Linked DNA regions of Styela clava. The protein of the gene in region 1 purifies or fractionates together with the protein of each later gene. This does not show direct contact. Links are inferred from orthologs where the notes say so. Each region holds a gene or a part of one and is shown on either strand. Other genes may lie near its edges.

The links.
Region 2: the proteins of mitotic spindle assembly checkpoint protein MAD2A-like (region 1) and anaphase-promoting complex subunit 1-like purify together in Homo sapiens (affinity purification with mass spectrometry; 3 studies listed by BioGRID and IntAct, with this or other methods). This does not show direct contact. The link is inferred for Styela clava from reciprocal best matches to the Homo sapiens genes MAD2L1 and ANAPC1.
Region 3: the proteins of mitotic spindle assembly checkpoint protein MAD2A-like (region 1) and anaphase-promoting complex subunit 4-like purify together in Homo sapiens (affinity purification with western blotting; 14 studies listed by BioGRID and IntAct, with this or other methods). This does not show direct contact. The link is inferred for Styela clava from reciprocal best matches to the Homo sapiens genes MAD2L1 and ANAPC4.
Region 4: the proteins of mitotic spindle assembly checkpoint protein MAD2A-like (region 1) and uncharacterized protein LOC120327195 purify together in Homo sapiens (co-immunoprecipitation; 3 studies listed by BioGRID and IntAct, with this or other methods). This does not show direct contact. The link is inferred for Styela clava from reciprocal best matches to the Homo sapiens genes MAD2L1 and RNF8.

What each region holds. Positions count from the first base shown.
Region 1 is NC_135260.1:18,873,565-18,881,017, forward strand, and holds the start of mitotic spindle assembly checkpoint protein MAD2A-like, read right to left. Parts: upstream 3,013-7,453; 5' UTR 2,718-3,012; coding exon 2,642-2,717; intron 2,271-2,641; coding exon 2,121-2,270; intron 1,433-2,120; coding exon 1,294-1,432; intron 708-1,293; coding exon 613-707; intron 399-612; coding exon 223-398; 3' UTR 1-222. UniProt on the Homo sapiens protein: Component of the spindle-assembly checkpoint that prevents the onset of anaphase until all chromosomes are properly aligned at the metaphase plate.
Region 2 is NC_135259.1:2,111,629-2,119,619, forward strand, and holds the start of anaphase-promoting complex subunit 1-like, read left to right. Parts: upstream 1-4,989; 5' UTR 4,990-5,727; coding exon 5,728-5,842; intron 5,843-6,512; coding exon 6,513-6,613; intron 6,614-6,804; coding exon 6,805-6,936; intron 6,937-7,516; coding exon 7,517-7,696; intron 7,697-7,901; coding exon 7,902-7,991. UniProt on the Homo sapiens protein: Component of the anaphase promoting complex/cyclosome (APC/C), a cell cycle-regulated E3 ubiquitin ligase that controls progression through mitosis and the G1 phase of the cell cycle.
Region 3 is NC_135260.1:6,796,610-6,803,855, forward strand, and holds the start of anaphase-promoting complex subunit 4-like, read left to right. Parts: upstream 1-4,224; 5' UTR 4,225-5,270; coding exon 5,271-7,246. Other genes in the region: low-density lipoprotein receptor-like, read left to right, coding at 183-331, 440-514, 694-732. UniProt on the Homo sapiens protein: Component of the anaphase promoting complex/cyclosome (APC/C), a cell cycle-regulated E3 ubiquitin ligase that controls progression through mitosis and the G1 phase of the cell cycle.
Region 4 is NC_135253.1:16,792,610-16,800,618, reverse strand, and holds uncharacterized protein LOC120327195, read left to right. Parts: upstream 1-4,994; 5' UTR 4,995-5,089; coding exon 5,090-6,547; 3' UTR 6,548-7,634; downstream 7,635-8,009. Other genes in the region: ran GTPase-activating protein 1-like, read left to right, coding at 7,729-7,890. UniProt on the Homo sapiens protein: E3 ubiquitin-protein ligase that plays a key role in DNA damage signaling via 2 distinct roles: by mediating the 'Lys-63'-linked ubiquitination of histones H2A and H2AX and promoting the recruitment of DNA repair proteins at double-strand breaks (DSBs) sites, and by catalyzing 'Lys-48'-linked ubiquitination to remove target proteins from DNA damage sites.

The DNA.
Region 1 (7,453 bases):
TATTCATTCAATTATAATGTGTGCGGTAGCGTAGGTACAATAAATTTTGCGATTTACGATGTCCATGAAAGCGTTCTTAATCTGTACCCCTGTCGGAACCCCCTGGCCGCGCAACTGGTCACACCAAATGGGAAATGGACAAAATTGTTCCATAATTTCAGTAGGAGGTTGAGCGCAGCAATAGTTTCTTCACTGTTTTTTAAAAAATTGGTGTTAGCATTTTCATCGGATGGTATTAAACTTGTATGACACAGCCCCCTCAACTTTATGAACTGTAGTGTTGAATGATCTCAGTTTCACTTCTTGAGAGTCGGTGATCAAGAAAGCACTGCTTTCCTCCAACTTTGGTGATATATTTTCAGCATCATGACTTGTGTAAAACAGAACATCGAAAGAACCTGTTTTGTATTGCAATTTAAGATTTTATCTAGCAATTGCATGTAGTATTATTACTGGTAATGCGTCTATCACTAGCCAGTGACTAATGAAGAATTTAAAAAGAGGCAAAGGAAGGATGTATCAAAAATGTGGGAACCACTGGTTTCCAAGGTTAGTATGTTGAGCCCAATTATGTTGATGTGAATATTGAAGAGATAATCAAACCAAACTTACAGACAGTTTCCAAGAGAGGCAAGAATGTAACCGTAGCTGTTATTTGTCTGATTACAGCACATATTTCTTTATGAATCTCTGCAATTTCCTTGGTTCTAAATCAATGCAATGAATAAATTGATATTTGAAAATTGAAACCTGATGGTATCTATGACTATATAATACTGCTGTTTTGATATAAATCTCAAAATAACATTTTTAAATGCTTGAATTTTCCAACTACTATGAGTTCACTGAATTTCAACAAAAGTGAAAACATACTGAATCACTGTATTTTAAACACTGGCTCACCGGCATATGAATATTATCCTGCAAACACATCTAATTGATGAACAGAATTTAAAATGGCAAATCCTACATTTGTAAAATTTTGTAACGACTCTGAAACAATGTTGTTGGGAGCGGGACATTGAAAATGCTTGTAACGACTCTGAAACAATGTTGTTGGGAGCGGGACATTGAAAATGCATTCATTTTATGATATTTCATCTCTATGGAATGTACACAAAAATGTCTGTTGGATGATTTGAATGTTTCCATGATTTTTTTATCTGATTTGGAATAAAAATGGTTGAAAGTCAGAGTCTTGAAAGATGAAAGGGCTTGAAGCATTGAAATGGGGTCTACATCTTTTTGAAGCAATAGGGCCATAAGTATAAATAAAATCAATATATGACCTACTTGTGATTCTTTTCTCCATCTTTAGAAGTTACTGTCTTGTCACAATCTATTTCAAACTGCCATCTTTCAAGTGGTTCCTTTGTGTCAACATCTTTTATAACGACAACAAGCCTGTTGACAACACCTTGTTCTAACCATTCTGTGCATAAAATATTATCATATAAGTTATCATATGTCAAATCCCAAGCAATATATGACATGGGGTTCGCCAGAATAGCATTCTTTTTCCCAGATTTCCATCAGATCATCTCAGTAATTTTAGGATTCTCAAATAACTATAACACGAAAAGTTTCATAAGGTAATTCAAACTACATTTCAAAGAGATTTTGTTAAAGAACAAAATTAAATACCAGAGTATATTGTCACTTATGGGCTATGGCCCCAGGCATATATCGAGCATAGCTTGGCTTTGAGTAACAATGAAACAACTTTTGAGAACAGGAAACAAGAAATTTGTTACATATAGGCTACCTAGCATAATATTTTGAAAGATCATTGAGATGAAATTGGACAACAATTGAAGAAATTTACATGACAATGGTAACAAAATAAATACTATCACAATTCTCAGATTCCAATTTTCTCACCTAGGATTTGAAATGCTATTATTTATGTTGCAAAAGTATGGCACTAAAAGGAAGGTTAATTTCCATAAGACACGACTATCAAACGTGACTAGCCAATTATTGTCTTCTATTAAAGTCTAAAGATATCAGATGATGTAAGTAATAAAAATTTCCTTATTAGATCACAAAACTGATTATAATAGTTAGCGAACATGAAAAATGAATCAGAAGTTGATTTCAAAATTGAATTTGGAGATCACCGGTTAATTGTGGACAAACATTTTCCTCCAAATATTCTTTAATCTTGTCATCTGTGCAAACAAGTATGGTCAGTCCATATTTTTTCTCTCTGGTAAACATTTCCGCTGGATATATTCCACGTTGATATAAAATGCTGTTGATTCCATAGTCTGAATTATAATCAAAATAGAGCATGCAATACGGTAGAAAATTCAGAGAGCCAAATCATTATTCGAAGGGGTACCATGATAATAACCAATAGGCTATATCAAAAACCAAGCTTGATCGCTTTTAATCTGCTATTGTAAATCTGTAAACATCATGGCACCATGTACTGAAAAAAAAAAGACTACTGTACATTCTATAAAATCCAATCAAATACAAGCTTGTACTGTGCTTCATGCACTACAGCATGGTGCTGACCTCGAGCCTGAAAGTCAAGTCTAGCATATCATAAACTGAAAATGCTGTGTCTAACCATTTATCTAGGTCGCTAGGATATAGTAATAACAGCATGAATCAATTAGCATGAAAAACTCACAGAAAAATTCGGAAACAATTGCTGCTGATCCTTTTAGCGTTATTTTATTCAGTGAAGCCTGTTGAGTTGGAGGCATGTTTAATTCAAAGTATCAGATTCTACACATATATAGACCAATAACTGGAAACAGAAACATATTAAAAACCACTTCGGAAAGGACACAGACGGCGATGCCTGGATGTGGAGCATCATGCTACTGTGCTAATCGTTAACTTAGCGATATTACGTTACATATATGGCATGGTATGCTTACCATGCACCCCTGTGCAAGAGGAGTAAGACATATCGTAATCGCTGGTCAGTTGTTCATGGCTTACGCAACACAGCAGAGGGGTTAGATGGGTGAATCTCACAAACTTGACATCCCGATTCAAGATTTTGTGCAGCTGTTAACAAGGATTTAAAAAAACGCTGGTGCAGTGAAAGTGGGAAATGTTTCTCCGGACAACCACAAATTCGTGTTTATGACATCCATTAGGCTAGTATTTTTCTCTATTTTGCTTTTAGAAGGGAAAAAATGAGCAGTCGAGAGGCTGGAGTATATATGATTGCTGTCCAATGACTTCTGGCAGGCATGCGAAATACACATTATGTTGGTCTGCTAAGTCAATGGGGTCTAGTGTAGTTTCGTACCTCAGGTACTTCTGGTTGGCATAGCATACTAACCCCCACATGACTGAGTCATCCAAAAATTACGTCACCACGACGTGATGAGGCCCTTCAAACTATACGAACTGTCATCCAAGACGCGCAGGCAATCACCCGAAATTGAACAAGCTATTTCTTTCGTTTTCTCATCGCAATGATCCCAATATGAGAGAGATCCCTGCCGTTAGTGAGTTTATTATCGTCAACGCAGATGCTATTTCAGGTGATCGTAGGTATATTTTGGCAAGCTCCATGACGTGATTGCGACGCAATTTTTGGATGGCCTAGTTAGGTGGGGTTAGGAATAGGATTGATGTGCAAATATCGTTATGCTACCCCCACAAGAAGTACTTGAAGTCGAAACTACACGAGACCCAACTCACGACCTTCATTCCGTGGTTTAGTGGGAAAATAAATTGTCCCCTACGAGCATTTTTTCGACACCAAGTTTAACACAGACTGGTTCGATAACTTCTTCAAACCAGCAGATGAATGTACTGGTATCAAACTATCCACTTGGTGTTGCATCATATACTGTCCCCAGCAGGGCCATCGGTCAGTCGGTGGTCCAGGATCCATAGGCGTTTATTTCCAAAGACCAGTACCACAAAAGGCAAGAGGCTTCCAGCAGCGGGTCCGCAAAACATAATTGATATTGAACTTTCGCAAATCATCTCCACTCTGTTACCGGTAGCTTGTTTCCTGCCACGATCATCACGAGGATTTGTTTGGCTGTAATTGAATACTGGAATAAGTTGGTTGGGGGTAAACACGCCGCTATTTTTAAATTTGGTTGAAATAATTTATTATTTCTTCTCAGCAAACATCTGCACTATCTCTTTTAATGTTTGAAGCGAGGATAATGGGATAACCCCTTACTTCAAACCTTGGATCAGTGGATAGAACCGTTCAAACTCTGCATCTGCCGACCCATCGACTTTGAACCCTGGCATAAATATAGGGTGGTCCAAAAAATCAGGGGTCTAGTATAGTTTAGTACCACAAGTACTTCCAGTGGGCGTAGCATAACGAATTTTGCATATGTTATTCCTAACCCCCACCTGACTATGCCATCAAAAAATTACGTCACTACGACATCACCATCACGTCATAGGACTTTTTAAAGTATAATTAAGATTGCCCGAAATGGCATATGCGCCGTCTATAACCTCCTCCTATCGGGATCGTTGTGGCGAGAAAACGAGAGAAATAGCTTGCTCGATTTCGGTGATCGTCTGCGCGTTTTGGACGACCATCTGCATACTTTGGTGGGCGACGTCGAAATGACGTAATTTTTCGGTGACGTAGTTAGGTGGGGGTTAGGATTGACATATGCAATAATTGTTGAGCCAGGCCAACTAGAAGTGCATGTGGTACTAAACTATACCAGACCCAAAATCAGAACCGAGTTCATTTGAAACACATTTTTGCGGTGACTCTGTAGACAGGTAGAGTGTAGACCAGGGGTGCCGAACTCGCGGCCCTCGAACGCTTAACAATTATTGATATATTTTGTAAGGTTTTTAATCTAAATGTAATACATTTTTTAAAACTTCCCAATTGAAATTGATTATCCACGCAGAACACGACAAATTACAGAAAGTAGTTTTGAAAAATTACAAATTTTTTTGTTTCGTTTTGACCTGATTATGGATACACCTCAAGCTAGCAAGAGAATACTTGAAAAAAAACAGTTCAGTGATTAAGAAGAAATGCAAAGTACATGAAGAAGGTGGCATTTATCTAAAAAAAGGGGGGGTTGCAATATTTTCAAAATTCGAAATCCAACTGTTTAATTTGTCACTTTTCTATCAGTACATTGAATAAATACAATATAAGTAGACATTATCAAAGTAAGCCCAGCAGTCAATATGACAAATTTGAATATCAACTTCGAAACATGAAACTGTTGCAGTTGAAAGCACAGCTAAATCAGCAGCAAACCTGTCTTGTAAAAACAGTTGGAACTTCTCAAAAATTTATCGTTGACAAGAAATACAGTTGCTACTAGAATTGATAAGATGTCCGCAAATTTAAAAGAACAAATAAAATTTGCGTCTGCTAACTTTGAATATTTTTTCTTATCATTCGATGAATTGTGTGATATATCAGGCACTGCACAACTTGCGGTCTTTATATAAGCTTGTGATGCTAAGTTACAAATAAGGGAGTAATTTCTGAATTTAATCAAACATTCTCAACGATGCAAATTAACCGATGGTCATGTGACCTCGTTACTAAGAATTGGTAGCCTACTGTAAAATCATTTCAGCCTGATATTAGTAAGCTGTTTAAGTTTATTCTGTATTTTTGTAGATTTTAGGTTTATATACAGGGAGTCCTCGACTTACGACGCAGTTCTGTTTCTGAGACTCGGTGTAACCCAAATTTCAGTGTAAGTCTGAACCTTATACTGTACAGTGGTACAGTGCATGAATTGCAAGTGTGCAACAGTGCAGTATCTTAACATCTTTTTTTTGCTTTGAGTCCATAACAAAGGGCAAAAGTAAAAAAAAAAACGATCAAACAAGTTACGAAAAAAACGACTTAAACAACCAAAATGACGTACAGTATCACTGGAACTGTGTACAGTACTGTACCATGTGACTGAAGCTTAGTGATTATTCGTTCATATTCGTAATAGTTCGCAATTGGTCACGTCGTGTACGATGTAAATAACGAAAACCAATGAGCCCAGAGCACTGATTTTCCTGATCACAATGATCCAGTTTATAGGCTTAGATATTACAGTACAGTATTATCTTTTATATCTGTATATGTTCGTAAAGTGCGTTCGTAACCTCGAAACAGCGTTATGGAGTGCGCGTTTGTAACCTCGAAACATCGTAAGTCGCGACCGTCATAACCCGAGAACACCCTGTATTAAGATCAAGTCATTTTTGTGTATGCATGTTTTGGATAGTTGTACAGTTGTATGTAAAAATTTATAATTTTTTGTAATAAATAAAGTAAATTGCAATAATAGTGCAAAGGAAAGAAATTATTATGAAAATGCCATTTGAAATTTAAGAAAATAGCAAAATTTTATTTGGCTGTTTAATTACAACACAATATGTATGATTGATTGATGTATCATAAAATAGAAATGCCCAAAGTATACCGTACATTATCAAAAACTGTTTTCGGCCCTTGGCACAATTCCCAATATACAATGCGGCCCTCGAATACACACGAATTTGACACCCCTGTTGTTGTTGTTTTGTTTTTTTTAAAGGTCCACGTTGTGGATTCATAACAGTTTTGTAAAAATAAATAAATGATGAAAAAATAATAATCATAGAACATAGTTACATATAATAAACAAATATATTCGTAAACATTCAGTATTATCCAGCAATTCATATTATTCCATTGTTGATTCCAGATAAAGTTTCCCATGTTTATCAGTAAATATACATTAATTTATATGTTTTTAATTTATAGCAGAAAAATAAAAATTTATACAATTAGTCATAGATTCTTACAAATTATGTCTAGTTCTTTTATAAAACTAGGATTATGTCTAAGTTGTTCTATATTTCTCCTTGCTAAAAGGGATTTTCTAATTCTTGTTACGACACTATTTACACTTGGATTAACATTTTCAAAAATAACTGCATTACGTTCTAACCATATTTTATATCTTGCAGTACACAGAAGAAGTATGACTGCATTACGTTCGACTAATGATAAATGTGAAAAACACTGATTATTTAGTTCTAGTAAAATACATGTTTTATAAATATTTTTTAACTCGCAATTGTTTATTTTTAATACAACAGAAAAAACATAATCATATACATTTTGTGTAAATGCACAGTTCCAAAATAAATGAGATATAAATTCTGGTTCTTTAAAACAAAGTACACATAAATCATTTCCAGTAATATGTCTAATCCTTGGTTTAACTTTTAGTGAAAGAATGTCCCACATAAGTTTATAATTGAAAGTTTTCATATTATTAGCCAATATTTTACAATGTATGTTTGAACAAGCTCCTTCCAAACTACCATCTCTAAGAAACACTATTCTGTCACCCCTCTTCAAATTATCAACTATTTTATTATAAATTATTCGATGTTTCCCTTGTTCTAAATCAGTTCCAGCAATGTTATATTGCCGAAGGAAAGTAATAATGGCTCCATAATATCTATTGGGGAAAAA
Region 2 (7,991 bases), on another chromosome or scaffold:
CCAATTAGGTGCACCCATCTCATTGAACTGTTTGAATGTCATTCAATGGATGAATGCTTGATATACCGCGTTGCTATTTGCTTCCATTTCTTTAATGGACTGCGACTCTTCAGAAAAATTGCAAGGGGACCGTTTTGAATAATTTTTCAAAGATTTTAGAACCACTGATTATAGGTTCCAATGGATAATTAATTATAAATTTATAATAGTTCAACTTCTTCACGGGATCCGTGGTTAGGAATCTTTGATCTATTGATTCTATTCAATACTACAAAATATGGCAGACTAAAACGGGACAAATAGGCTCTATTCATTCCGACTATTGTATTTAGAGCCGTGCTTTTAAGTATCTTTTCAGGATTATCTCATCTGACATAAATGTTTCTGTAACCTTAGTTATGTTCATCCAGCATTGTGGTGCTTAGCATATCACTTCTTTGTCTAACCAATGTTTTTTTATTCAGTCAGCAGTGCAAACTGGGCAAGGAAAACAAGAGACAATGGTGAGAGACCCAAAGAAGCATGAAACGCATGTGCTGTAATGTGACAAACAGTTTGCTATTCATATACGCATGGAATTCGGTCAGAAGTCTGGGATTGAATGATATACTACAGATGAGACAGCTACTGACTTAAAAACGAGACTAGCTTAGCAAATAATGAACTATTTTACCAGGAGTCATATATAAACGGAGTTTCTACCCGTGATGGAAAGAATTATAAACGTGATGCTGCATTACAAGTTAGCGATAAAGTTTGATTGGTCTGCATAGTGACTCGCTTGAAGATTTGGTGAATAGTGCATCTTGGTATTGATGTTAGGCCGGGTTCCTGTCTTGCCAGTCCTGAGATGTTGGATGAAAATGGTTGATGTCACAGAGCGATCAGTCGTGATTAGGCTGTCAAATCGGATTTGTGTTACAATTCGAATAGCAGTGAAATAGAATAAACATGTGTTGTGGAATGTAGAAAAAATGCAAGGCGTGATTTTTTCGGGATGTTTGAACACCCAAGGCTTGGACATCATGCGAGTTCGATTTGGCTATCTTGTTTTGCTGTTTTTGAAAACATTTTACGTCATCGGTATTTAACACTAGATGCAGCTTTGAACAAAAGCTTGTGCTATTGGAGTTGGCCTCTTGATTAACTAATTCTTTTAATTAATGTCTCAAGTTTAATATGCCTTTATGGTAAAATGTGCAGAACTTACACTAAATACTGCTCTGTAATCAATGTGATGATTATTATTGTTCAGCCTAAAAAAAAAGCCATTGTTAAAGATACTTTCTATCTTTTTAATTATTGTTGAATCTGTGATAATCCGTTTGCCTGGGTTTTTTTCTCTCTATGTATTCGAGACCGGTACTATTTTAAATGATTGTAAAAACTAATCTTGATGAATGTTTTGATTCTCAGGACTTGTCCACATTCAAAGGTACATGTGACCTAATGACACCACAATTTGTATAATTACCTTTAGAATAAAATTGCTGACTCGTACATATACATTTTATTTCTATACATTAAACCGTAAATATCTCCGTTAGACCGATTAGACCAATAAGCATATATACATGCTCATTGGTCTGAGTGACAAAAGTGTCTTAGTGGTCGCTATACCTTCATTGTTATGTCGCTCTTTATATCTTGCAGACGAGCCTATGTTACACAAAGTAAATATAACAAGGATGCTCGGGGAAACTTCCAGCCGCAAATTTTTCCCGGGGCCCAAACCCGAAAATTTAATAAGTGCGCCGTGGTCGTTAGAGCGAAGAGAGTGGAGAGCGCGATCTTCAATGTTTCGAGACCGTCTCGATCGTGCGGTTACAGAGTTCTGGAGTTACCGGTACTGAGTTATAGTTAATTGGAGCTAAAACTGTAAAACAAGCAATACTTATACCGTACTACTGCAAGCTGTACTGGTACCTGGTGTTATTTTTACATTTGCACAGTCTATCTGGAATCCGGCTAAACGCCTATATCGCACAGTTCCTCGAGCATCTCTGCCTCTGACAGTCTGGAATGTTTCGTTGGCAGGTTGGGGATACCTACAGACCTACCCTGTGCTGCTGTGCCTGCTGCAGACCTGCACCAAAAAGGTTGAGAACTAGGCCTACTGATGGCAGGATGTAACGTTAGATCTAGATGCTTAATCAGTGGATAGCCTACCAGTACGGTACGGTAACTGTTGGATTGCCTCGATTAACTTTCTAAGCTGGGCTACTCGCATGTCGCATCTAATACGTATGTCAGTAGACTACCGCTATGTAATACCAGAATACTGTAATACAGTAACAATACCACATAGGCTATTTGTATTTGCAATGTGCCTGTCCAAAGTCAGTGCTGCAGTAAGTGCATTTATATCTCAATACTGCAATACAGCAATACAGCCCAGTCTGGATTTCATGGCCTTTTCGAACGAGAAATCGGGCGTGCAATCAGAAATTCCCGCGTGCAAATAAGAATTTCTGGCGTGCAATTATAGCTCACGGCGTGCAAAACAACTGCGCCCGCTAAACTGATTTCGAACTAAGATACCTCTCAATACATCCGCGTAAAAATAAGTTGGATCATAGCAAAAATGGACGTTTGACCTTTGACCCCCAAAAACATCATTTCTATATTTTGTCACTAATTTTGAGAGTGTTTGTGCGACTTTAGATACCGGTACTGTTCAGTACATCCGTGTAAAATTATTGTATTAAAAATACGCTGAATCAGAGCCATAACTGGCCAGCGTCGGTGAGGAGGCGATTTTTCTCACGGGATTCCTATCATTCAACACGATATGGTGATTTTTGCTTCGCATTTTTCGATCAGGCCAAATCTTGCAAGCAAGTATTAGTCGACAATTGTAAAGTTATAATTTTTTGGCATCTTTATATTACTAGATTATTGATTTAAAAACTATTTAAACCGATTTACATTGGTGAGCAATTGCAAATTTTCGGCGTGCAAAATTGAATTCGCTCGCGTGCATTTTTGTGGAGCGCTAGCGCCCTCGGGCGTGCATCTGCCATGGAATCCAGTCTGGAATACAGCAATAACTTATCTCAGTATCTTCAAATCTCTGAATCCAGATGACTAGATGATGTTGTCAAAGCTTTGTTATAGCAGTAACGGTATATCTGTATATTGAAATGAAAGCAATGAAGATTCACCAAATTTATTACGTTCCGTTGTTATTATTATCATAATGTTTCTCATTATTCAGTTATTACTGCAGTACTGTATGATTATCGTTATACATAGGTAGTTTCTTGTTTTATTTTAAAGGCTTTCCCCCGGTAGAATTTTTTGTAATTTTTTGGATAATTGGATAAATAATGTAATAAGTCGATTTCATGGTGTACAAAGTATTAGAAGTGCCGAAATCAGGCTTCAAAGCCATCAATACAATATATCTCCTTGGGTAAATGTTACTTAATTTGCTTTTGAATTTGCTTGTTCAATCTTTATTTTAAAAGATGTATTTGTGCAAATCAGATTCGATTTGTTCATACCTCAATTGTATTGATGGAAATGAATAGGTTTGATATTTCACTTAGATTTAATTTTTTTTGTTGTGAAACCCTCCTGTGAATTCATGCTTGTTTACCAATATATCTGGCAACAGTGATTAGAGATATTATTGTTCAGCTGATTTTGATTCATTTTTCTGGCAATTGTGGCTATTTTGTTCCATCAATTGCCGGACTTCTGGCGCTGAGTTAAACATGGATATATGTAATTTAGTAATCTGTGAACGTTTAGGATGCCTTAGGACAGGGATGGCGAACCTTTATCAATGAATGGGTCAAAAATCATATTTTTATCGCGGAACAGAAGAGAGTGGGTCACAGATATTTAATCAATGTTTGTATCTATAAGAAACATCTGAAACAAATCATAATACAACGGTTCTGTTAATGTTGGTGTAGTTTAGTGCTTTACTTTACAGCACTTTATCAGGAACTTTTTATGGCACTCGATCAAGGGTACGAAAACACACATGTGAATTACGTTGAGGATGATGCGGCAAATTATTTTACGGTTCCAAAGAGTTTGAAGGGAATTCCACTCTGATAGTGCTATAGTTTTATATCAGCTTTAACCATATTAAAAGCACTTTTACACTGCCCCATTGTTATTCCAGATTTCTAGGTTTTATTTCAAGTCTGAAAGATTTTGTATTCTCAACGGCATTGTAGGCGAGAAACTAATAAAATGCAAAGTGGCATCTAGTTCTCGTACAACCCCTAAAACAGTCTGCAGATGCACTTCTGAAGAGACAAGACGTTGCGAGAAATGAACATCAATTCGATTGTTATGTCATAAACGATGTCAGAGCCAATAGCTGAATAACGGCACACAACGGTGCAGACATGCGTCCAAGATTGGGGGTTTTGAATATTATCATAACGGAAATTAACAATTTGAATATAAGCGATCGCAGCCCTGACTGCCCAACTGACGGTACATTATAATAGTTTAGGTATTGTTAGATTAATTTAAGGCCGATTTTAATATTTTTTATCACTGATATGTTAGCATTTTTCTTATTTTATTCGTGCCTTGGCGGGTCACGAATAAAACGCGGTGGGTCACTTTGTGACCCGCGGGTCAGTGGTTCGCCATCCCTGCCTTAGGATGTCAGAACGTCAGCCCACACTCGTGTGACGCTATCCCACTAATGGGGATGGCAGCCCACACTCGTGTGACGCTAGCCCACACCCGTTTTTGTCAGGCCATACTAGGGGTAACTGGGCCGTGCTTGGTATTGTATTTGCGTTGTGTATATCAGATATGGTCTCTATATTGTCAAGAGTCACCAAGTTTTTATGTAATAACATTTACAAAGTCAGTAAAATAGTTGGTTAACCCGTTGACGTCAGCCTGAGCAGGTGTGGGCTGCGGTAACCTTGGTTATCAAAGTGATGAGTGGATGTTCAATTACAGAATCCAGAATTTAGACATTCACCTTACCCCACCTTACTCAGTTACTGGAATCACATTTTGACATTCGTCTACTTTATCAGGTGTCCACACTTTGATCTGCCAGTTTTCAGTAATGCTATTACTGTATTATTTACGGTACAGTATTATTGGTATATTTCCAGAACTCACTACAAATTTCATATCTGTTCTCTGTTGTAATGAGACATTTTTAATTCAGTCAAATCATTCGGTACTGCAGTAAGTCTATCTTCAGATCTAGCCCATTCTTGTTCAGTTAAATAAATCGCTTCTATTTTATTCTAATTGTGCAACTCCTCCTCCTTTTTGCATTCAAATTGTATGTTTTTCTTTCGCGATTCTTTTTTTGAGGTGTTCAGTTTAGTTTTGTGAACATTATACACCTTGATTAGTAATTCTGGAATAAGCATTCTCACTAGTCACTTGCTCATATTCAAATGCAGAAATGACTGGAGTCATATGAGGGATTCTGAGATTCTAGTGCAGTACTGCTCCTGTGGATACCGAACATCTTACTCCATTTCTGATATTCAAGATCAGAGGTCGGGCAGTCATTTATCTGTTCATTGACCCACAGTAGAGTTCAGAACTTTGTATAACTTTGAACTGTAGCATTGCATAGTCAGATAGTAGTTACTCTAAAAGCTATAAATTTATTGCTTAAAGAATAAAGATTTTGAATTTGTTCTGAAGTTATTAAGGTAATTCTGTATTTGTTATTAATGGATTTGAATCACTCTACAAAAATAAAGACACCTATTTTGACTCATGAATAACTCCAGTAATCTACTGCGAACATCAACTTCTGTTAATGCAATGATTGTCGCTCTGGAACCAGTGGAGTTTATACCCTATGGTCGCCATGCTATTTCTAATCATCCAGGTGAGCGATAATATCACAGTATTACTATGTCCCTCTTAGTGTTCTATCAATTTGCTCCTACCAAAAATTCACTATTACCTACCTTAAAAATAAGAAGGGTGGAAAAAAGAAAATGTTTTGTATGGTTTGAGAATGCACAAGAAATAGCATTTTGCAAATACAGTACCGGTAGCTGACCAATAAGTGAAAACAGAAATAGGTAAATGAGAGTTTTTTCTTCGCAAATTGCTTTAAATTTTTCAGGCCATCAGTGTTTGTCATATTGGTGACATCGAACAGTAATCAGTAATTTATTTTATCACCATATAAGAAATACACACTGTACATACAGAACGAGATAAGAAAAGAGAGGAAAATAATGCATTTCAGGGTAAAAAGGGATGCGATAAACCAGCATTGGTTATCGAGCAGCGACACCTATGAATAGTCTAACATTGGGTCATACAAGTTTAAAAAACAAACTCAATATAGTACTAAAGTGAGGAGTCGGACGCCAAAATACTGACATTGGCATAAATATGTTTGAAAAGACCGGATATTTCCGGACTCACTAAGCAAACGACTCCGAACGCCGACTGGCGTTGAGAACTTAATGTAAACAACCTTATGCCACCTACTTCTGGATTATTTGAAAAAAAATTTGATATCCTGTTTTGTTTTATTTTCACAGGCCTTTCTTGTCTTCACTTGCATCAGTCACAAGCTCCTCTAAGATTAGATCGAAGTTTAATCGGTTCTTTCAGCAAAGTTAGCTTGGATGACAGGAATAGGGTATAAATTTTCATATGGATGTATATAATTACGGATGCCATAGTTGTGAATGTTTTTATTGAGATTACAATAATATGTATGTGTATAGGTAGGCCTACTGCATCGGTGTCTTACGTGAATATATATAATCATTGCCTAATTTATATTTATTTAATACACATGTAAATGTAATATATTTGGGATATTTTCAGGTTTCTGAGAGATGGCACCTGCGGAAATATGCAAATGCTGAAGAGGAATTATATATTTGTAAAAATACTATAGTATGGAGTAGAGGATACAAAGTCATCAGTACATATACAATTGATTCACCTGTAATTCATGTAAGATATAATTCCTTCTAATTCTAGCTTTAAGTGGATGTCTTGGATGCAAATTGAATAGGCTTCTACTTTTTTTTTCTTGGATGATATTCATTCAATCATTTTGAACAACCTATTAACTGGAATGTTGAAATAACCTGTCAATATGGTGTGATAGGTACTGCACTGTACCTTTATGGTCAGTTAGCACTGTTAGCAGTTTTGTTTTTTAGTCTGGTATCGTTTTTCACTGAATCCTGAATGCCAAAATCAAAGGATCATCATTCCCTTTATCGCTCGGAAGCTCTTTTCTTTTTGAAGTGCCTTTTTATTTTTGAAGTACTGATATTGGATATCAGATCAAAGTCAATTATGGTAAATAACATAATTGGCAGACCTTTTGGGTACAAATACATTAAAAAATATATTAATCCTGATGCAAAGTTAATACATTTCATGTTTGAGAAGACCCATGCAACAGAAATTTTGAGCAAATAAGCGACCCCACAAAAAAATAAAATAAGCATAGCCATCCAATAAAATGCCGGAAAATATGGCATATCCAAAAATTAAACCAAAAATGTTTATTGACTTATGACAGGCTATTTGGTGTTCATTTGTGATTGATGGGGAAGATTCTCATATTCATGAATTATATAAAAATACTGATGAACATGGTGAAAATAAGAAAAACGTTGAAGGATTTGTTGCAGTATCTGATGGAAGTTTGCATGTGTTTTCTCGAGAAGGAGACGATTTTGTGACAGCATTGCCATTCCAAGTATGTGTTGTCAGTTGTCAAATTACAAATGAAAAGAAATTCATACCAAGTATCATAACATAAATCAACAGAAACTACCCTTTTCATTAGCCAATTCCAGTGTATAGAAAATTCAAAACATTACAATCCTGTAATTAAAATTGTCCCACGGTCATATTTTAATTAAGATTTATCACTGCATGAAATTTTGGTCAATTTATCGCAGGTTCGAAAAGTGTGGAACACTGATTTTGGACTCGTTTTTGAAAGAAATCAGAATTCAAGTGATTCAGCTCCATCAGTATCATCATCAGAT
Region 3 (7,246 bases), about 12 Mb from region 1:
TCATATCAAAACTATGATATAACAATTTATCTCGCTCTATCGGAACTGGTAAAGCGAGGTGCGAATCAGTGATTAATCGACTGCCTCTGTTAAAAAGATGTATTAATATCAAATAAAGAAATATGTTTCGGCTAAACGGGGGCGTATGGCAAGCGTATTTATAACAGTAGTAATTAATTTAGATTTGAACCATTGTGAAAGATCGCCATGCAAGTACCTGTGTCTCCCAACGCCTATTGGATTTGAATGTGCATGTCCTGATGGATATGAACCTATATCTAGGGATGAATCTGATTGCAAAGTAAAACCGTCACTCGTGGATGAGATCAATGTAAGTTGTTTAAATATGATTTTGACAATCCGAAATGTTTCACAATTTGAGAATATTGTAGACTCATAGACCTTGTCGCCAAATTGCAAATTGAATAACTTAATTTAGCAGGTGCTTGAAAACGTTATCGAGACAACTGAATTCACCTACGACGTGAAATCGGAGTTTGATGAGGAGAAACAGGTGAAAATCTCATATGATCAACTGCGATAAATTTACCCTGATATAAACTCAGCTCAATATGAGAGAACCTTAATGATATTTGTGATATAGACGAGACACCCAGATAGTTACATCTGCAGCCTATATCAATATTCAGGTATTACATGTATAGTTTGAAATTGCCTCATATTAATTTTCAGAGAGATAAGAAAGGAAGAGCGGCCTACGAAGATTTGTAATCTAGTATTATAAAGACGCGGATAATCCTTTAGCCGCAGCAATTTGCAATTATTATGTAAAATGATTGGACTCCCTATGCAGTATATATTTTGTATTTTTACGTAATAATGGTGTTTACTTGACTTTTCACTTGTCTAGAGATGTTTGGTCTGAAAGACCCGCGAATAATTCATGTATAACATAGTGTTGTGAAGAGTCTGTCAGAACTCATTCATTTTCAAGATAGATAAAGTCTGGAGAATATAATCGACGAATAGATTGACTTTTACTTAGTTTAAAGTTATTAGGTTACGACTATATTTCATGTTTAAGTCTTTCATCGTCGTATTTCCACAGGCTGGAATATATACGATCACATTTCATCAGTTATGTATGTTTCACTTTAGCAATTATCTGTATCCAAGTTCATAGGTATTACACTATTTTTGATTAATATTTGTTTTATTGCATTGAAAACTTTCAAGCGGTCTCCCTTTTTGCATATGTAATGAGTGATAATCAAACTTTTTTTTAAATTGTCGATTGGATACAGATGGGTAAAATGCAACATACAGTTTCCTAATTAAATATGCTCGCCAGTTTTGCAAAACACCCAGAAAATTACTGCCTGCTGCAAAGCAATGCATGAGAGTATGAGATACCAATAGTCAGATGACACAAGTAGCGAACTTTATTGCAGCAGCAAAAAGTCTGATTGGTCAGATAAAATGCGGAGGGTATAGGATTTACATCCTCCACCCGCTGCCCTATATCCCTCCATCCGAGGCCCTATCACCCTCAGCCTTCCTATTCTTCACCCGCTGCCTCCCTCAACCCACATATCCTCCACCCGCTGCCCTATCCCCCTCAACCTTCCTAACCTCCACACGCGCTGCCCTCCTATCCTTGACTCACTGTCCTAACTCACACAACTTCCCTATCCCGGAACCACTGCCCTTTTTCACCAACCTTCTTAGTCTCGACTCACTGCCCTCTCCCCTAAACTTACCTATACTACATCATACCTTATCTAACCGTGCTTTACCCACGTTCCAATCGTCAAACGCAACCTTGTTCGCTCGTGATTAGGCAAACTCTCAGGTTTTATACGGCTCGAGTATGCCAATGAGATGATAGAAGCCTACGTCGACGAAACAAGCCCACAAGGTCGGCGGCATTCGCGATATATTATTATGGATATATCTGAATATGAAACAAACGTATAGCTTCAGTGAGTGTAAATGATGACAAAAATGTTTGAAATCTTTGAAAGACGTTTATTTACATCATTTGCCAAACCATTTAAATGTAGGTTTCAGGCCCAAGTGGTATCCAATCGCCATAATTGGTAGCTTAAACATTTGCTACTTGATTTCTTGCAAATGATGTTCATTAATGTGTAGACACGTCTGTTTTAAATACACTAACGCCTGCAAACACTGAACGTGTAACCGCTGACTCGATTCAGAAAATTTATAGCACGATCCAGAAGTCTATCGCAGGAGTCACTCCATTTTTTCTTCTTATTACGGATCAGGACGACAAGTCGGTAATCCAGGCAAATGCCTTCAAACCCATATGCCGACGGAAGTTTTATAGATTATTTTCTTTTGAGTTGAGATCACCATTGTCTATTCTATACAACGTAATGGGGTTGACTTCCTTTCACCATATCCGCTACATGTGGGGTGGTATTACCAGGTTTGCTGTGTTTTCACGCCATCAACTGGGCGATTAATACGAGGGATTTTAGAGGCCAAATTGAATGTCCAAAGAAACGAAAATCGAAATTTGATTGTATGGGGTCCGATTGTATGCAAGGAGCTTCGCTCAGTAGGGACACTGTAATTGCTTATCGACCTCTCTATCTAGCTGTAATCTTGTTGACTTTATTTGCCCACCTGTAGATTGCAGGAACTTGTCACGGCAGCTTGCGTTTGGGTTGTGGACCCATGTCCAGTGGTGGGATTCAATTTTTTTGTCGGCCGGTTCCATCACAAAAGCCATATTTTTCAGCCGTTTCTGTTACAAAAAGTCATTGACAGTAACCAGTAATGCTAACCGATTCGCTGATCTCATAAAATTCCGTGAGACGGTTCTATAGAACCTGTGCTAACCGACTAAATCCCATCACTGCCCATGTCCCTTCACGGCCCTCGACAGACCCTTGATGTTTCCCCGAGCATCGACTTCCTTGTTCATTTTGTAACATTTGCCAATCAGCAAGATGCAAAAGGTGACGTAACAATAGACTCGTTGGCATCCACTCGGACACTCCTGTCACTCTGACAGATTTTCAGTCGTGGTTTCAAACAATACCTGGTTTTTTCGATTTTGAAAGCTATTCGTCAGTTTTTGGTCGTTATTCCGAAATTTAAGTATGAATCAAGTCAATCAAACTGTTGCTGTGTACGTTTCTCGTGCTAAAATGAACGTCGAACGTGCATTTTGCGCTAATAGACAAGTCACGTTAACTTTTGTACTGCTTACATGCGGATATTCATGACAGCCACTGTATTGCTAACAGCTAACCGGTATGTTAGTCGTTGCAGCTAACCTCAGGATAGTTGTCTAGAAATCTTGTATATTTTATATTTGTTTTGCTATGATGTTCTTGATATATATTCTGCAATATAGAATTTAATATACAAGACTTCAGAAATGTAGAATTTATATTGTTGAATAAATTGAATGGATTTCCCAACTTTTGGGAATTTATTGTATTGCATTGACAAAAATATTTGTCCGGCCCGTTTCAACACCGTTTGAGCATATTTACGGTTTGAGTCATACCTGGTCCGCGGTCAAAAAAGTTTGGTGACCCCTGTCTGATGTTACAAACACAGTAAAACAACCTAACTGTGACAATATGAGCATGACGACGAATTTGGTCAAGTGCGGGAACTTTTAAGGTAAAGATAATGAAAAGAATTCCTGCCTAAAAGAAAACGTGGCTTGCTGCATCGTGTCAAGCGTTGGATATAGTCTAGGGCTCTAGGCTAAGCCTACGTGAGCCATATACCCTTTGATTATCCTGCGCGGGAGCTTACAGACATTTTTGCCTGGCCTAGGATAAAGCCGAAAAGCTATACATTCTGACATTAAAATTTGAGAAAAAATTATCTGAAATATGTCTGTGTAAAATGCAATGTTCTTATTAATATTTACAATAAACATGAGAAATGTTATATTGATAATAGGCTTTAAGTTTATAGGGGGAAGTTTCCTGAGTTCAAAGGCCGGGGAAACATTGATCACGCGTAAAGGCCGTACTAATTATTTTTCAGTTGCGATGTAGGCTCTGATTTTATGAAAATTAAGGTCGCGAAAAAAAGTTTGGGAACAAATGAGGTATGGGATTAGTTAGTGGAGGAAGCCGTAACCAACCAGCGTTCACGTGAACCACTCGACAGCGACGAGGAGTCCAGCAATCCTCGCGCACATGATTACCCCCCCCCCCTCCCTCCCGCGCGATTCGAACCTGCGAACACACGCAGGTATTCAGCGGCTCGAACGCTTAGTCACCATATTTGAAAAAGCAAAATCCCGGACAGTGCATAACTATTTTCATGACCTTGTAGTAAAAAATATGCGCACGGTACGAAATAACAATGTTCTGTAATAGCAGTGTGCACAGTACGACTGCAGATGCAGTAAAATTTCGGACATTTGAGCATTTTTTAAATTCTTCTCGGACGCAAAATTTAACTCAAAATTCCGGACAAGTCCACAATTTCTGGACGGTATGGCAACACTAGCTTAGGGCGATGCACCGCCGGGCGCCGAGCCTTAAGAAACACAAATTTATCTAAAATGGTGGTTTCCCCCAACAGACTTAGTAGTTCAGAAACATTACTACATTAAGGTTACCTGTGCAAAGTTAGGGTCTGGTATAGTTTAGTACCACATATACTTCTAGTGGGCATGTGGATGATGTGGTACTAAACTATACCAGACCCTTCACAAAGTCCCAATTTTATATCTCACTATTGATAACAAAAGAATAATTGCATTCAATTCAACAGTATCTAGTCTATATAAAGGATCTTGAAATTAAATAATATGCAAGAATCCTAATTTATAACAAAATGTATTCTAGTTAATTTTAATATAATACCTAAACAAACAAAATTTTTTGTGTGAATTTCCAAGACATGAAAATATGTGAAACAAACTCTGGTTCTCCATTATATAATAAACACATTTCATTCCCCAGTTCCCTATTTCATTCACTATTTCTGTCTTCGCACAATCCCTACCTTTGTCAGATTGTGGAAACCCATTTCCAGCCCCCAGTACGGTAATTTGTTTGTAATTCCTCTTTTAGTCAGTTCAGTTGTGAGAATATAATTTTACCAACTTCTGATTACCAAATACCAACAAAATTCAGAAATTTGTTCCATCCATGTTTTGGGGGTTGGACCCCCATTTTTTTGAAATGTCCTCTAGGATCGAAATCTTATCGTAATACTATAATATGGGGTATGCCAAAAAACATTGTAATGCAATTGATTCAGATTACTAAGATCCTACCTAAGGTCAGTAGGTATTACTAATTATGAAGGTTGGCAATGCATTCATGCCACTGGGTGAAAAGCATGTGAAATCGAAAGTTAAACTGTTATCATGGTCACCGAGGCTGGATTTATTAGCAGTGGCCACAGCTACTGGCGAACTACTATTGTATCGCTTAGTTTCAAAAGAAAGAATTTGGATATTACCTGTTCCTGAGAGCGGTACAAACATACTTTCTTTATCATGGAGACCAGATGGCAAAGTCATTTCTGTTGCCTATGATTGCACCAAGGATAATATAAAATTTATTTACATGGAAAAAGCAGAAATACTTTGGAAATTTTCATCTCCAAAAACAGAACTTATAAAATGGTTTGATATGAATTTTCCTCAATTAAAAGACATTTCACATAAGAATAGGGGCCTAAATAGTGAAGAATATCTTCCCAAAGTACCAGAATTGCATATTGAAAATGAAGAAAAGACTGGCAATTTGATGTATGCTGTTAATGATGAAAATTTCTATGTTTTACTATCATGCGACTCCAATTGTAATGTGACTATTTTGGTCAATGGAATATTCCCGATAGCTCGAGTTACATGCCATGATCAATCATCACATCCACATTGCATTCTCGGAATGCAAATATCTCCCAATATAGACAGTCTCACAGTTGTATACTCAAAACATATCTCCCATTCTACAGAAACATGGGCAACAATTTATAATCTTAAGGTTTTGACTGAAAATATTGAACTTTATTATGCTGCAGCACATAAAGCATATAAGGTATTAACACTCGACCAATATTTGAATATTATTTTTGAAAGTATCAGCGAAAAATGTGACACTGTAACCCAGGAAGTTGATTCACAGTTAACAAGTTATTTGGTAAAAAGTAGCTCATCTGAAAATATTGGTGATGACTTTCTCCAGCTTTTAATTTGGGGAAAACCAACGGATTCTTTGAAAAATATATTGACAAGACATTTTACTAAAAAGGATATTAAAAAGTTGGGCATTCTTATTGAATCGTCTTATACAAGCATCCAGCAGCAATTGATAGTTAATTTTCAAACTGGTTTGATGTCACTTTACTATCATTTAACTGAGCTTAGAGGAATGGCTGTTGATAACAAAAATGTTCTTCCATTTGAGATTTCTGATGTTGAACATTTATTATCCACAACTGGTTCATTAATGCTTAAAGTTTCTGAAATGCTCCAAGTCATTGACACAAGTCTAAAAAACTTCAAAGCTTTTTTCCGTTGGCTGTATTGCTCAATGTTGAAAATGCAGGCCGAGCCAGTCGACGATATGGGCCAATCGTCTGGAAATGATGTTGCACTGGTAGCTGATTTCATTTACGAACATCTAGTATCAAGGAGACAGACAGATTTGAAAAAAGGAAAACAATTTCATTTGGAGAAAGTGTATCAGTATCTAAAAGATGAGCCGCTAACTCAACTAGCAAAGACTACTCAAAATGAATGGACCAATTTTGTTGCAAGCAGTAGTATATTATCAAACAGTAAGTTGATAATCCATCCTCAGCCAGAGTCATCACTGAGACAAATTTTTAATCGAATGACAAATCAGTTGTTAAAACTTGTAAGTTTATCTGGAGAGTCCATAAACTGCAATGTCTCGCATAAAATCCAACTTGATAAAACTGTTGGCAATTTCAGACCAAAAGTACAACTTTGGATCAAGGAGAGTACAAATGCTGGTATTACTATGGGAGTCGATGAAAACCCTGAAGGACATGGAATATATTTATTGATTTCAAATAAACACTCATCTGAAAAAGCAGATTTATTTTTCCTTGGTTCAAAACAAGTTGATTTGAACTCTATGAGAGCAATGAAGATTCACTTCAATAAATTTGAATCTCTGCCGAATGTTGAAAACACAGAAACGACAGAACAAATCCTTGAAATATTCGATTTTGACTGGTATGATGAAAACACAATGACTTTTATACTTGGTGAAAAGCTACTTGAAAAACGATCTAAAAC
Region 4 (8,009 bases), on another chromosome or scaffold:
TCATAACGTCGATGATGTAGCAGGTTGCCTGATTACTTGGGTCATTTGGAGCCAAATGTCGTTCTAGTTTGCGGACAGTGGCACTTTTTATTGGTTTAGTCATAAATCCTTTCGAGGCAAACAGAGGAGCATCTTCTTTCTTAATTGCTGCCTTGCCCTCAATTTCTGTACACCTTTCTCGGAGTTTTCAGGTTAGTACGATGAATAGTTTCAGAAAGTTAAACTGTTTTAATTATGAATCTTTCAGTTCGATATCTTTTGTATAATTCATCATTTTTACATTGAGAAGTTGTTCTCTGACGTTAATGGGCATAACGTCGTTACTGAGGAGAGGATGATGTGCAGCCTTTTTTCTTCAGGGGGCATTTCGAAAGGATTTTCGTTTTTCTGTACGACATTCAGGATAGATTGCGTGCTAGTTCCTTCGTATGAAGTCCCTGCCTTACTAAATGCTCTATTCACCTCTAGTTGGACACGTTTAGTGGCCATAACGATCGTTTTAAAATTTTGTTGTTATTGTTATTTTCTTTCGTCATTATCATTAAAAAATCGCTTTTCTCTTCGAATACTGGACCAATTGCTTTGAAATTTTCAGTGGTTAAAGATAAAATTTTTCTCCAGAAGGCTATCACTTTTTTTTTCTCGCTATGACGTCATCAAAATTATTGCCATTGGGTGGCGCTATGTGTCTATATATTTGAGCATAGCTCTCTTGTTCATATTAGGATTCTTACTTTAAAAGTCGAAGACTGTTAAGAGCATTTCCATATTTAGCTGTCCTTCCGTCTTGCTTGGAGAATGCTTCCCACCCTAGAAACACTTCTTTCAACATCCGCATCCCTCTTAACGATCGGACATAAATTAAAATCCTTTCAAGTTGAGATTTCATTGTGTATGCTTTGTAGCACAAGTTACTCAGATGATATAAAAATTTACTGTGAAAGACAACTTTCAATCGCTTGCTTTCAACGTCTTTCTCAATTAATGGTGCATCCCAAATCGACTTACGTCCATTTTCGGTTCCTACCGTTTTCTCAGTAAAAGTCTCGTGACAGATTATACATTTTGAATCATCTACATTCTACTAGAACGGTCTGGTCAACGAATTCCGTCGACACATGCACGGGGCCATGTTTTCCGCGACATGCGACAGAATGCGTCCGAAGCATAGCCTACAAAGGTCAGCTACCAAGAGCACAACAATAGGTGTGTGGCATGTTATTTTGTGGCCTTTTTTTAACCAAATATTATGAGAGTGACGGAAGGAGGTAAAAAAAATTTTATTCATGCATAGCAGTTGTTAACTGATAATACAGATGATATACACCTTGATATGACCCATGGTGTCATTTTGTTATCTATCAAAGTGGTAATAGGAGTTCCCCCTCAGATTTTCGTGACTTTTTAACCCCTGGTGACCTCAGTTGAACTCGTATTACCCAAATAAATAATTGGAATGAAATAGCATGCCAAGGCTAATAATTTGTGCAATGTGCAAGATTGTTGAAAATAAAAACTACGAATATAATGGACATTCAATTTTTTTCCTACCCCTGATTTATTGGTCAAGATATATGGGCGTTTACGCAATATAAAAATTCCAATTTCTCGCTAATTGCGTGGCTTCAGAAATGGTAACCGAGGTTTTCTAATAGGGGAAGTGACACAATTTCGGGTAGAAACTTTGCTCACGAGATCGGCCACAGCGGATGCATTACTACAACAATTACGAGTATCGGGTGGAAACGAGGGTATTTTTCTGTATATCGAATTTGCTGGCGATCACCATATATATATATATTTATCAGCAAACTAGAATCCTGTTTGTGATCTAATTGCGCATTCTTAAACGTTCAATAGGATAGATTGGTAATCCCAAAGAGCGTTTCTAGATATTCACACTTAGTAAAGATCTGATCTCTGGTTATTTTAATGTGAATGAGAATATCTTTGCAATCAATATTTTTTTGCATTTCAGCTTCAATTCCTTCCTGCTTTTTTATCCTCATAAAGGATTTTGGCCCATTCTGTTCTCAACAACTTATGCAAGGTAAAACAGGGTGACTTAGGTCTAAGTTGCACTGAACAAATTATTAGGGACATTTCATTTCTGATGTTCATGCCCATCATATTGGAACTGCGGACTATCTTTATTTAATATTTTGGGGTTTTGAGCCATGCTCTACAGTCTACAAGATGGTAGTCTTTAAATCCTGAATTTCTCAATAATAAAATTTTTAGCTGGACTTAGCCCATCATGTTCTGAACTTCTACAAAATATTATAGTCCTAAGTCCAGCTAAAATTTTTATTATTGAGAAATTCAGGATTTCAAGACCACCACTTAGGCCCATTCTGTTTTAAACTTCTACAAAATATTATAGTCCTAGTCCAGCTAAAATTTTAATTATTGAGAAATTTAGGATTTCAAGACCACCACCTTGTAGAGCAAGGGTTCTCAACTCCCATGTAAAAGGGCCGCATTTTGACCACAAACGATGCGACGGGCCACAGAATATTATTACCATATATTTGTACTATTTATTCATTTATTAGTCCGATACTGATGTATAATATGCTTTTTGTTTTCCTTTTTATGCATTTTAAAACATAGTTAATGGATAGCATTCGTAAGTTTGCAGTTCCAATTTCTTCCCTAACGAGAACTATGACAAAATTTTACAACATAGAAAAAATATTATTATATCTAACAGCAACAATTTTTTTGCAATTACAAAGACGTTTTTTTCCTAAATGAGAATTCCGAGTCTGCATTCTGTTCACAAGTAGGCCCTACTTTAAAAAAAATCATAAGATCACAACCAGATGGATATGCAATTTTGAACTCTTGAAGCTGTTTGTGGTGGATAGGATAGGATTTACATATTTATCCCGGGGGAGAGGAAAGCCGATAAGACGGCCTATCCATATGGCGAACCCCGGCCTCTCGTCCGGTTACCATTCCAAGTCGGGTATGGGATTAGTTTTACTGTGTCGTTGTAAATTTACTTCGTTGACAAATGAGACAGATGGGTTTCCCATTTATCTCTGCAAAAGCAAATTCATTCATTGTTCCACGCAGAGTTAAAAACTCTGTTTCCGTCGTTTAATTTCTCTTCGTTGTCGCCATGACTTAGTGCCTTCAAGCTGGACGCAGTGTAACACCGTTTTGAAGCGCGTTTCCGAAGGTATATGGAGGGTGCAATGAGCGAGCTAAGTAACTCAATTTTTACGTAACAATACGTAATTATGTTCTATGATTATTATTTTTTCATCATTTATTTATTTTTACAAAACTGTTATGAATCCACAACGTGGACCTTTAAAAAAAAAAAAAAAAAAAAAACAATACGTAATTAATCTATTTGCTGTGATGACATAATCCATAATCTTATCATGCGCTGTAAGGGTTGAGAAGAATGATACCGAATTAAAAAATCGTTTATATTCGTTACGCCGCAGATATTATGATATGTTTGGGTTCATCAAAGATCTTTGGGGGGCCGCAGAATACGCATCGACGGGTTGAGAACCCCTGTTATGTAGCATGGCTCAAACCACAGACAGAGGGTTATTATACCAGAGCCATTACCGTATATAATAGCTCTGATTATACTTTGTGATTTCACGAGTGTTTCATTCCAGCCAGTATTCCGTTTCATTCCGCCATGGTTTTGCGTTTGTTTGTATATTAAACCACTTATCACCTTTTCCGCAATGCCCAATCTAGCAATCAGTGTAGTTTTTCATGGCTTGGTTTTTCTTAAAGCTTTCATGGCCTCATGAGTATGACTATCGTCGCAAATTTATTACATTCCACTCCCCACATTATCTTTGCATGAGGTTGTAGGTATTGGTCATTATCAACGTAATTGTTGAAAGAGAGTACAACAGCCCGAAAGTTTATTAGTATTACTATCGTGTATTTTGTTTTTTAAGTTTGGCCCAAGCCTCATTTAATTGGGCTTGTGTTTTTGTGTGCGTGCTGGTGGGCAGGCACATGAGATACTTCATGTTTTAAACTTTTTTGTAGGTTTTGCTTGCCCTCCAGAATTCTCCATTTTAAATTTAGGTTTGTTATGGAGTTTTCGAAATAAACTATCTATCTAAGAACAAGATAGATTTTCACGCACGCCGCCGCCGCTGCATGTGGGTCACGAAGTACCGGTAGCCTCTTTTTGGCAAAGTCAAAAAGTTTTGATTTGGCGCGCTTAGCAAAAAAGGTACTCATCGTGCGTTTAGAGATGTGTGTTACTGTATTATCCGGACCTCAACTACCGTATCAGACTCTGTAATTTCTAATGAAACTTTTTTCTGTGAATTGAGATTTGACTGAGTTTATGTAGTACGGTACATACCGGTACGGTACGGTAGTATGTGGACAATGCCGGTACAAGACATACGGGAATCTAAGTTTAATCTGTTCTGATGAATTTTTGACCGGTTACCGTAAATAAATAATAATACATTGTGTCAAATTTATAGCGTATGGGGAACATTTTTGGGGTCTCGTGTAGTTTCTTACCTAACATACTTCTAGTGGGCGTAGCATCATAATTTTTTGACATGTCAATCCTAACCCCCACCAGACTATGCCATCCAAAAATTACGTCACTACGACATCACAAACACGTCATAGAGCTTGTTAAATATACGTACTATCGCCCGATATGGCGCCGGTGCCTTCGTAGAGACGTAATATTTGGATGGCATAGTCGGGTCTGCAGGTGGGGGTTAGGATTGACACATGAAAAAATTGTTGTGCTACGCCCACTAGAAGTATGTTAGGTAGAAAACTACATGAGACCCCATTTTTGTTTGTTTGCTCTTTTGGTTAGCTTATTCAGTTATTCCTGTATTCTGTCTAATATTTTTTGCATTGATCGTTTTTTGCCTTATGTGTAACGCTTTACAGTTGTACCGGTATAAATTTGAGAATATATCAAAATAAGTTTATTCACCATCTGCAGATCTGTACTGGTATTACATCTGTACATATATATCAGTGTATCTAAAAAAATATGATTTTAAAACTTTCACAGATATAGCTATGCATTCATTGAATTTCTGAAAAGTGATTCAATCTGTCAATGGAGCTCTTCTTGTCTCGTGTGACTGGAGATAAAAACAGTGGAAATAAAGGTCCTGATCAATGGATTCCATTTTCAACAAAGGTGAATGATGTGGTAACACTTGGTCGATCATCAGATTTACCTATACGATTGTTATCACAACATGTTTCTAGAACACATGCAGAAATATTGAAAAAGAAAGATGAAAACTTTTACATTAAAGACCTAAATTCATTGAATGGAATACACGTCAATGGTGTTAAAATTGAGAACTCTAACTGGCATCGTCTTAGTGCTGGTGATAAAGTGGAGATTGGTAGACCTGATGATGAGGAAATTTTAAAAACAATGAGCGCCAATGATCGATTTATTTATAATGTGTTATCTGCAACCAATTCGGAATTAGACAGCAAACCACGGGGGCCAAAGACGCATATGTCTGAATCTTTAAAAAAAGATTATTTAAAGCTGCATCCAGCAAAAAGTAAAAGACTTGCTAATGGTGCTTCAAAACAAGTAGAATATAAAAAATCCAAAAATAAAAATGCCAAAATTGTTAAAATAAATGTTCCAACAGTTGACCACGAAACAAATTGTAATGATAAAATGGTACATTCCACTGGAAAAAATAAAAATAAAAAAATGAAAATTGAAACTCAATCAGAAACAAATCATGAAATGGAACGAGAAAATAAAAGATTAAAACTACAGCTCGAGGAGAAAGAACAAGCTTTGAAAGAAGAAATTAATTTGCGAAACAAAAGAATTGAAGACGAACAAAAGAAAATTACACAAAAGCTTGAGCAAAATTTCAAAACCAAACTTGTAGAGAAGGAAGAAGAATTAGAGATGAGGCTTCAACTAGAAAAAGACATTGCATTTGAGCAGTGTAAAGCATCATTTGAAAAGGATAAGGTAAATTCTTCAACTATCAAAACGGTGGTAGATACAATGGAAAATGAACTTCAGTGTGCAATTTGCTCAGAGTTATTCATTGTTTCAACGACATTGAACTGTGCTCACACATTTTGTGAATATTGTATTAATGAGTGGAAAAACGTTAATAGTATTTGTCCAGTTTGTAGGCAGCCCATATTGACATTGACACGATCTCTTGTTCTGGATAATTATATTTCTAAAGCTCTCGAAGGTATTTCTCCTGTTCTTAAAGAAAAAAGAGAGAAAATTATTGAGGAGAGAATGAAAATTGAATCTGAAATTGCCAAAAATAAAGCAAATAGGGGGCGTGGGCGTGGTTCGAGGGGTGGTCGGGGTCGAGGAAGAAGAGTACCTAACTCTCCTATCGACCTGAGTAGATCAAACAATGATGACAGAGAAGGCCACTCACGGTATCGCACTCGATCTCGAAATATTATAATAGTAAGCGATGTTGAATCATCAGATTCTGAGGAGAGTGATTCTTATTCTGACAGCGATAGTTCTAATGAATTTGGAAGGATCACTTTCTTTTATTGAATTGTAGCAACTTTATTTCACATATATAGGCAATATGGAATTACTTCACATTTATGGAAATCAATCATAGAGTTAAATTGCCAAATGGGATCAATTTTTTAAAATCAGCTAAAGCTGAAAAGCCTTGGGAGAAAATTTGACAGACAAATAAAGTGATAGCTTCTGAGGTGACATTTCCATCCACTAAAAGTTTCAAACAATTGGTTCATTATTTCAAAAACTAATGGCATCGGCGAATACAATTTTGCAATGTGCAATTCAAGTCTGTTGGAATAAAAGCCATAAATATATTTTCTTCAAGTTGAAATGATTGTATGTTTGATTAGATTTTAAAACAGTATCTCACTGTTTTTCATCAGCATTCACATGTGTCTATCTTCTGTGCCTGAAAGACCTTTTAGATCTAGCGTAGCTGCAGCACATGTAAAATATATATAATGTACAACAACAACACTCATATTGGAGAAGTAAATTTCCACGAATTCCTTACCCTCGCTTTCCTATGTCAAAATTATGCTTGAAATGATTTCATCGGACAGTGTTCTCTTATATATATATATTGCCATTGTTATATTGGTGTAATATGGTATTGAGTATTTAATTATAATAGGGTAAAAGTATTTGGTGTTCGGATAAGTTTTTGTCAGGTTGTTGTATATGTTTTTTTGCATTTTGAATTTCTTTTTGTTAACTGCTTTATATGTTCAATGAAATATGAATATTCATTGTTTTATTTGTTATTGCTGAAACATTTTCTTAACAAAATAAAAACACCAGTATGTTCGTTCTTATGATACTTCATTTTGTTCAAATTGGTTTTTTCCTAGGTAGCTTATTTTTTTTAGGAGTACGAGATACTTGAAAACGAAGGAGCATCAGTTTATCACATTATATTATGCTGCTTATTTCTATGAGAAACAGTGACCCGCTTTCTTATTTCAAGCTTGGCTACATTGTTTCAGAAAAGTCTTTTGTAATGAACTTTTATTGTATAAATATTTACTTTTTGATTTGTTGCCTTCTGCTTTCACAAAACATGTAGTTGTGATACCAAGTTGATAAAATATTTTCTTATTTTTTGTCTAAGCTATTCATTCGGTTCTCCAGCCACTGTATATATTCAAATAAATTAACTGTATAATAAAATAAACCTCTAAAACCGCTAAGAGTGAATCAAAAATATGTCAAAAAATGACAAAGTCGATGAAATTGCCTCCTTGTTACAAAAAACTGAAGTTCGACAGCAAAATATTGTCAGTTTCAAAGGACAGGGATTAAAACTGAATAATGAAGAAGATGCCAAGAAAGTTATACAAGCTATTCGTGACTGTCCAGATCTACAGGTACTTGTTGCCTTGGCCTAATTAAACAATTTTTGTAATAGATTAGTAAAAGATTTACAAATATGCCCTAACCATAATTTCAGAAATATGAATCTTGACTGAAACTCCTTTTTGAACCA